Drosophila melanogaster: one gene and its partner. The protein of the gene in region 1 interacts with the protein of each later gene in a pairwise test. Each region holds a gene or a part of one and is shown in the gene's direction. Other genes may lie near its edges. The genes, in order: CG31909 and Sas10.

Region 1 (3,504 bases):
CTGAAGTAACGTGATGGATCGAATTTTTATAGCGACAGTACGCTAATTGTTCAAATGTTTGCACGGCTGCACATCACTGTTGAGTGCCGAACGAAAATTTAATTAAAAGTTTATTTTTAGGTCTGCTCTGATTTTCGCAAGGACTTTAGTTTCTAACTATAAAGTTACTCTCTAACTTAAATTAGACAAACCCGCAATAAAAGATCATTGGAGTATTTATTTTTATGTGAAACTTTATATTTCATTTCAGTTTTGTATTTTTTTTGGTTTGTTTTGTATGTTTAAATACTTATTAAAATTGTTTTTGTTTTTTGTTTTTATTTTTCGTTTTTGTTGCTGTGTGTTTTGTTAGCTTCTGCTTTTCTGTTGTTCTTTGTGTGTGTGTCCGTGTTTTTTTGTTGGTTTTCCGTTTTGCTAAATAAAGTTTTGCGATTTTTTTTTGAGATTTTTTCTTTGCGACGGTAGCTAATGTTTACTATATATTATATAGTAATTAAATAGATAGATGCATGTATGCGCTTGTGTGTGTCTGTGTGACTGTGTGTGTCTATGCATTTGAGTATGTGTGTGTGTGTGTGTGAGCTGGTGAGTTTGGCCTTTAGCTAAGCCTTAGCTTTCTGATCGATCTCTATCGTTCTGCATTCGTTCTTTTTGCTTATCATTTCAGTAATATTTGTTAGGAATGGAAAAAAATTACAAGCCATAAAGGTAGAAAAAAACTTTACAAATTACATTTTCAAAGAGCACAGTAGAGGGATAGAAAGTGACGGAGACGGGGCAAAGAAAGTCTGCGAGAGATGGCACCCCGTCTATTTACAAAAGTATTTGTTCTCCAGCCGCTGGCAGTAGTCGCAGATCAGCTGACAGCACCGTCCATTGTTGAACCGGCACCGGCACTTCTCCACCTGCTTAACCACCTGGGTGGTGTAGCCACGCCCACAGCACAGGGTGCCACAGTTGTCCGGATGCAGGCACTGCCGATCCTTGGTGACCGCGCAGTAGGAGGGCGAGGTCTCCAAATAGTACAGCGTGGTGTATTGCGATTGTTGGGGCTGTAAAGGGAAATTACTTATTAGTTTTTTAAGTTTAGGTTCTAAAATATTAACAAAGTCTTTTGTGGTTAAAAGTCTAAACATAAAGATGGACTACCTCGACTATCAGATACCCTTTTCTCCATAGAAACCAATTCCCGTTATAGATCTACCTTTTCGAATGTATTCTACATATAATTCTACATCTACTCTACTTTTCTTTGAAGAACTTACTTTCTTGCGTCGCTGCTTTGGTTTTTTCATGCGACTCGATGACACCTGTCGCATTGATCGCTGGTTTGGCGCCTTGCGAATGGCCTCGTTGTACTTTTGCCTCAAGAGCGTGGCTGTGGCATTGAAGTCGGCCATCTTCTTCCAGCAAGTTTTCATCGAACAGGAGCCGGAGACGCCGTGGCACTTGCACTTGTCCATCATCTGCGAGGAGACAGCTTCGATGCCGACCTGAAAAGAAAGTTTAATTAGCACAGGTATTCTATAAAATATCTCCTTCTGCTCCTTAAAATATATCTCTTTACCTCTGAGTCATGTCGCAATATCTCGCTGACCTCGTCACCATCACCACCGCGCAAGTCCAGGAAGCTGCGTGTCACCCGCTTGCCGTGCTTCAGATTGTCATTGCAGCCGCCCCACTGGAAGTCCTGCGCCTCCCTGTTGTGCTTTTTTGGCCCGCAGCTGCACTTGGTCATACGTCCCTCGGCACAGGCCCTGGCTATCGAGTGGGTCATGGCGGCCGCTGTGAGCGCGTGGACGAAGGCAGTCTCCTTGTAGAGCTTCTTGAAGATGTTCCGCTTTCCGCGCGTCTCGATCGAGCAGTTCCAGCGGTCGTAGCGGAACTGTTCCTCGCAGTGGGTGGTGGCCAGACGGCGGGCCTCGCTAAGGGTTCCCGGCAATCCCGTCTCCTTGCGACACTGGTGGTTCTGACGCCGCGTGGCAGGCATGTATCTGCAGGGTCCACCCACTTGGCCCTGCGAAGTGAACACCGCCATCACCGTGTGCTCCGAAATGAAGTGTTCGCTGGCAGACATAAAGTATTCGAAATTTTTCATAAGAAAAGGTAAAGGTATTCTTAAAAGTCCTTTTTAGAGCTATACCACAATTAAATTACGTTTTTATTATAAAAAAGAGAGAATTCTATAGTCGAACTCCCCGACTATTAGAAAGCCCTTACTCAGCTAGTGGGAACGCAAAATTCTTTCTAATCTAGTATGCACTTTTACTCTACGAGTAAGGGAAAATTTCGAACGGAGAGGCAGTTGTGTTAAGTGTCAAGTCCAAATAGACCCTACAGTCAGAAAACTTATATAGTGCGGTGAGTGAGGTGAGTGAGAAAGTGAGGTTCGATCTTAACATAAAAAAATATTTTTCTGATTTTAAACAAAATAAGATTCTTGGTACGTATGAACACAGAATGAACTGACCATTGTTATATCTAAGCTCATATAATTGCCAGACAACAAGGTGCTGTCACCATCACCAACAAAAAAAATGGAACCCTCGTTTTCCAATACTAACAAATCGGAACTTCAGAACCAACTACGAGTAGAGAGAGCTCTGCAAGATAAATATTTAAAAGAATTTTCTTCAATGGCGGATGAGCTAAATCACTTAATTGATGGCACTACTCCCAGCCATATTGAGACTTATGAATATTTGGACACTGTCGACACTGAAAGCGGTCGTTCTCTCGAAGAAGAGAAAAAGTTAACTAACTTTTTCTATAAATTGAAGAGCGATCTACAGAAATTATATAGAGAAATCGTAGAGAACCCAAAATATTTAAACGAAATCAGGGATTCAACTATTATAAGGGACAATATAGATTTACTGGATGAAGTAGACGCTTTTGAAGGTTCGATGAATATGCTTTGACGGACAGGTGGGATTTGAAAAATGTAAAAAAATTCGGGTGTTACTTTATTTTTTATGGTTAAAAAATAATAAAAGAAACAGGTACCCGTTATTCTTTTACTCTACAAGTATAACAGGTATATTGGATTCGGATTTCTATTAAAGCGACACCTATCTTTGGCTTGCAGATGATTTTTACACAGATTTCAGCGCCCAGTGCGCCATCTAGCAGAACTTGTATGAAGCTTTGTGTGCGAGCAATCGGTAAAAATACCGTTTCAAAGAGAATTTAAATTTTGTGCGCCTACTTAGTTAAACCAATATGTCATTTGAACACTTAATAATTAATTAATAATAATAATTAAATTAAATTTATTAAATTAATTAATTAGCAACCACCAACCTTAGGATTGCACAATCGAAATTCTGAACTACAAAGTTTTTACTGCTAATAATAAACCGGCACATGAGAAACTTTTATTTGATTTATCAAAAGTTACAACACACATGCTAGTATGGCCTTCTCTTATCAGTTTTCTAGAAATAGCAGAAGGAATTTCCCTTGAATTGGTTTCCCATGCCATATCTGTTTCCAGTTATTTCG
Region 2 (4,416 bases), on another chromosome or scaffold:
ATCATTCCTGCTCCTGCTTCTGCTTCTGCTCCTGGTTGCCCACTAGAAGTGCGTCATTCATTTTTATTTTGAAATGGATTCAGCGCCTTGGGCACATGGTAATCCCTATGGAACGAATGCGAAATCATCATCATCATCATCATCATCATCATAATCGTGCAGCGGCATAATTAGCGGCTCGACCATCCCAAAAGGCTGCAGTTCGGGCGCATAGCAACAGGACTCCAACTTGATCCGCGACTCGATTAGATCGTTGATGGTGGGCACAAAAGTTTCATCATACGATAGCCGCATAGAGAATATACCCTGAGCGGTATCCAGTTCGCCGACATGGGCATACAATACCCTATTGAATGTCATGCGCTGGAATGCGGTGATACCATTTTTTGGCCACCCATTGGCCAATGGGCGTACGTGCGACATTTTGCCGCGAAATACCAATGGCGGTGTGCGCGCAAAGCTTAGTGGGAGGAATCGTAGATGGTTCGGTGCCAATGTGACAGACAGGGCATGATCCACATACTCTATGTTCACACATTGGGCGTCCAACGGTGCGGTGACGAGCACCATGGCACGTCGCCAGCCACACTCGCTGTAGGCGGCGCATATGTAGCCCTCTTTATAGAAATAGCTAGGCAACTCGGCACGGTAGCTGCTGATCGTCGTATGGCGATAGAACCAGCTATGGGCATTAAATAACAATATTATCAATCAATCAGTCAATCAATCGATTTAGTTAGTAGCTTACTTTAGATCAATGGTCATCTCGGCTACAGGATTCTTGGCGTACTGCGGTGGCACAATGTGGAACCAGAACTCACACGGAGAGAACACCTGCGCAAGAAAAAAAAACAAAAAAAAAAAGATTGAACTCCTATTTCAAAGCTGTCTCTTTGCTTGGCACGGGACCAAAGCGCACTCACACAGCTCATGATGATCGGGAAGATAGAGTCCTCCTTGCAGATATCCTGGATACGCTGCGGCGGCAGCTTCCAGTGCATGCCAACGGCATCCATGGGCAGTCCATACATCAGTGCACACAAACTAACATCACCGATATCCGGGAAATCGGAAAACGACGGTATCAGTTCCTTGACAATGTAACCATCCGTCGTTTTTGATTCGAGTCCATCGCTGTCGCTATCGTTGTCCGATGTCGACGCTAGCAGTGTTTCCACTGACGCAGCAGCTTCTGCCACTTGGCTATTGCTATTCATGAAGTCAGCATTGCCGGTGTGCAGTTCATGCATCTTCATTGGGCCAGGATTGTTCATTGCCTGGCGCTCCGACACGGTGGCTAACAACTGCTCCAATGGCTTTCCATTCACCTGGACATCGGCTACATCCGGCGGCACAACGATGTTGCAAAGCATCTTATCGAAAATTCGCACATGGTGCTGGTCGTCAGTCTCAGCCGTCGGCTTGGAATCGGTTGTTTTTAACTCGAGAGCGATCTTTTAAGGGGCGAAAAACTTATTAGTAATTTCTACAATACATATATGTATATATTTCGACGCACATGTGCTTTTTCGAAAACTTTTTGCAAGTCACTCGAATCGGAAATCACAAGCCGTATTTTGGCATTGGGCTGGCGCAAATCGAGTGCTAATTCAATTGTTCCATTGATCTGCTGTTCAGAATTAGCCGGCTTCTTGGAATCGGTAGTTTTTTCCTCCAAAGCGATCTTTTAGAGGAAATTACTTATTAGTATTAACTAAGCATACATGTGTAATTTGAATTTACGTACATCTTCGACAACTTTTAGCATGTCACTCAAATCGGCTAACACTTTGTTATTCCGCATTTTGGCACTGGGGCAGCGCAAATCGAGCGGCACATCATTGTTATCCTCGGCTTCTTCCGAAATTTTTCTCAATTTCGAGAGCAAAGTTTGAAGTCTTCCTTCTTTGACGTCCATCTTGCTTTGCATCCTGATTTTAACTGAATTTCAATTGTGGAACTTTTCCCATGTGGCATCACCGCCGTAAGCTAGACGCTAGAGATGGCAAATGCGCCATCCGCGAAATCCACCACACCAATCGGTCATTGGCGGCTATCGAACGTGTTATCGAGCCGTTTGTTTACGCACGTGTTGTGTTTGATTTAATTTAGTTTTAATTTGTATTTAAACGCACAGAGAGCAGCTAGCAAATGGACAGCGACGGTGACGACTACGTGATGAGCGGCTCCGACCAGGAGTACGATGACGAGGAGCGCGAAATACTCGAAGATCTGCGCAAGCAGCGCAAAAAGCCACATGATCCCGTCCAGGAAGTGCTCGGTTTCAGTGATGATGACGACGACGACGACGACGACGACGAGGAGGAGCAGCAGGATGTGGCGGAACTGATGCGCGACAGTGACATCGAGGGCGCCGAAGACGATGACCGCGATCTGCCCAACACCATGGACTGGGGCAGCAAACGGAGCACGTACTACAACACCGACTTTGTGGACCAGGACTACAGCAGCTACAATGCCCAGGAGGAGGAGCAGGCACGCGCCGAGGAGGAGGAGGCCAAAAAGATCCAGCTGCGTCTGGCCAAGCGCATGAGCGAGGCCGATTTCCAGCTGGACAATGTAGAAGCAGCGCCCGCAGGCAGCAGTGATGACAACGAGCTGAGCCATATAACCAAAGTGACCAGCGATCTGGCCGGCCTATCAGAACGCGAGCGACGACAGCTGATGCACAGTGAGTCGCCGGAGTTCATCATTCTCACCCAGGATTTTCAACAGCATCTCGACGAGGTGAAGAACCTATTGAAACCGGTGCTCAACTACGTTCGCAAACACGATGTGCCCATGGTGCCGGCGCTGCAATATGCCGGACTCTGCCACACCGTGCTCACCACCTACTGCTCCAATGTGGCTTTCTATCTGCTGCTCAAGGCACGTCGCATCGACGTCAAGGCCCATCCGGTGATTAGGCGGCTGGTGCAACTCAAGGATCTGATCGAGGAGCTTAAGCCGCGCTACGAGGAATACATTCGACCGCAGCTGGAGGCGCTGCTGGAGAGGATTGAAGATGGCGATGCATTCACCGTGCTGGATGTGGCACAGCGCAAGGCTAAGCTGCAGATACTCAACAAGTACAACGATGGCCAGCAGGCGTCAGTGAGCTCCGATGATGATGATAATGATGACGATGACGATGCTGAGAGTAAGGAGAAGGATCTGCAAGAGGAGGCTGGTGAGGAGGAGGAAGAGGAGGATGCGCGACGCGGCATCACCTATCAGATGGCCAAGAACAAGGGCCTCACGCCGCACCGCAAAAAGGAGCTGCGCAATCCGCGCGTTAAGCATCGCGGCAAATACCGAAAGGCGCTCATCCGGCGCAAGGGAGCCGTGCGCACGGTGCGCAAGGAGCTGCAGCGCTACGGCGGCGAATTGTCCGGCATCAAGGCCGGCGTCACGAAGAGCGTCAAGTTCCGCACCTAGTTTTTATCCAATAAATCCGCCAAGATCATTACATTTTAATCAACTCGATGTTTGTACACTTGAAACACCCATTTCATCCAAAGACTCACCGGGGATTAGTCAACTAGCTGTCATATGCGAAACAAACAAACATTTTTCTTCACTTGGTTCATCAAGAAACCAATTTATATGAGTCGAAACAAAAATCATTGTCTTACAACAGTTTTTCTCTTTGTACAGTGTTCTCCAACCTTGTCTGTTTAGGTTGCCTTAAATCTAAAAAAATATATGCTCCAAATCTTCGTCTTCGTCTTACAAACTAAACCATGGCCGCTGGCACCGGGCTCAGCCGCCGGCATTTGTCGCCTAATCCTTGAGAAATAGCTTGCGAAAGTCATCGTTTGACTTGGGCACAGCAGCTGGCATCTCCTCTTCTTTTTTCTCATCTCCCTTTTGCTCCACTCCACTTTGCTCCTCTCCTATTTGATCATCTCCTTTTTGCTCCTCTCCTTTTGGCTCCTCTCCTTTTTGCTCCTCTCCTTTTTGCTCCTCTCCTTTTTGCTCATCTCGTTCTTGAACATCTCCTTTTTGCTCCTCTCCATTAGCCTCGCGCTTGATGGCCACGTCGACGGATGCCGAAGTGGATGATATGTCCCCCGGCTCGGGCAGAAGCAAGCGCAGCTTCTTGGCAGCCACCTCTTGGCGCACCAGAGTCGTGGGTATAAGCGAGGTGGGCACACGTCGCTTGGGCGCCACACTTGGCTTGACAGCTGATGTGCCCCTCGGCGGTGGGTTTGAAATGGCCACAGAGATCTGAAAGAGTTGTGAAATGCATTTGCTTTGGTTGGTTCGGTTAAACATGAAGGCACACATCATTCGCTTACATTCATGCCCTTGAATAGACAACCATCTCGTCCAGCCACTGCTCGTTGCGCCTCGCCCGGCTTCTCGAACTCAACGTATGCAATGCCCTTGAACTGCTTGTTTCTGTAGAGGATC

Evidence for each region.
Region 2: the proteins of CG31909 (region 1) and Sas10 interact in a two-hybrid assay, tested with the Drosophila melanogaster proteins (one large-scale study listed by BioGRID).

Annotation. Positions count from the first base shown.
Region 1 is NT_033779.5:7,255,195-7,258,698, forward strand, and holds CG31909 (uncharacterized protein), read left to right. Parts: upstream 1-2,317; 5' UTR 2,318-2,370; exon of another isoform or gene 2,371-2,443; intron 2,444-2,502; 5' UTR 2,503-2,537; coding exon 2,538-2,921; 3' UTR 2,922-3,004; downstream 3,005-3,504. Other genes in the region: Wnt4 (Wnt oncogene analog 4), read right to left, coding at 810-1,052, 1,266-1,493, 1,568-2,066.
Region 2 is NC_004354.4:5,315,353-5,319,768, forward strand, and holds Sas10 (something about silencing 10), read left to right. Parts: upstream 1-2,056; 5' UTR 2,057-2,151; coding exon 2,152-3,438; 3' UTR 3,439-3,719; downstream 3,720-4,416. Other genes in the region: CG15930 (uncharacterized protein), read right to left, coding at 106-682, 749-834, 924-1,454, 1,520-1,684, 1,748-1,930; Rnp4F (RNA-binding protein 4F), read right to left, coding at 3,784-4,230, 4,302-4,404. UniProt on the Drosophila melanogaster protein: Essential for gene silencing: has a role in the structure of silenced chromatin. May be involved in gene regulation during development. Binds RNA.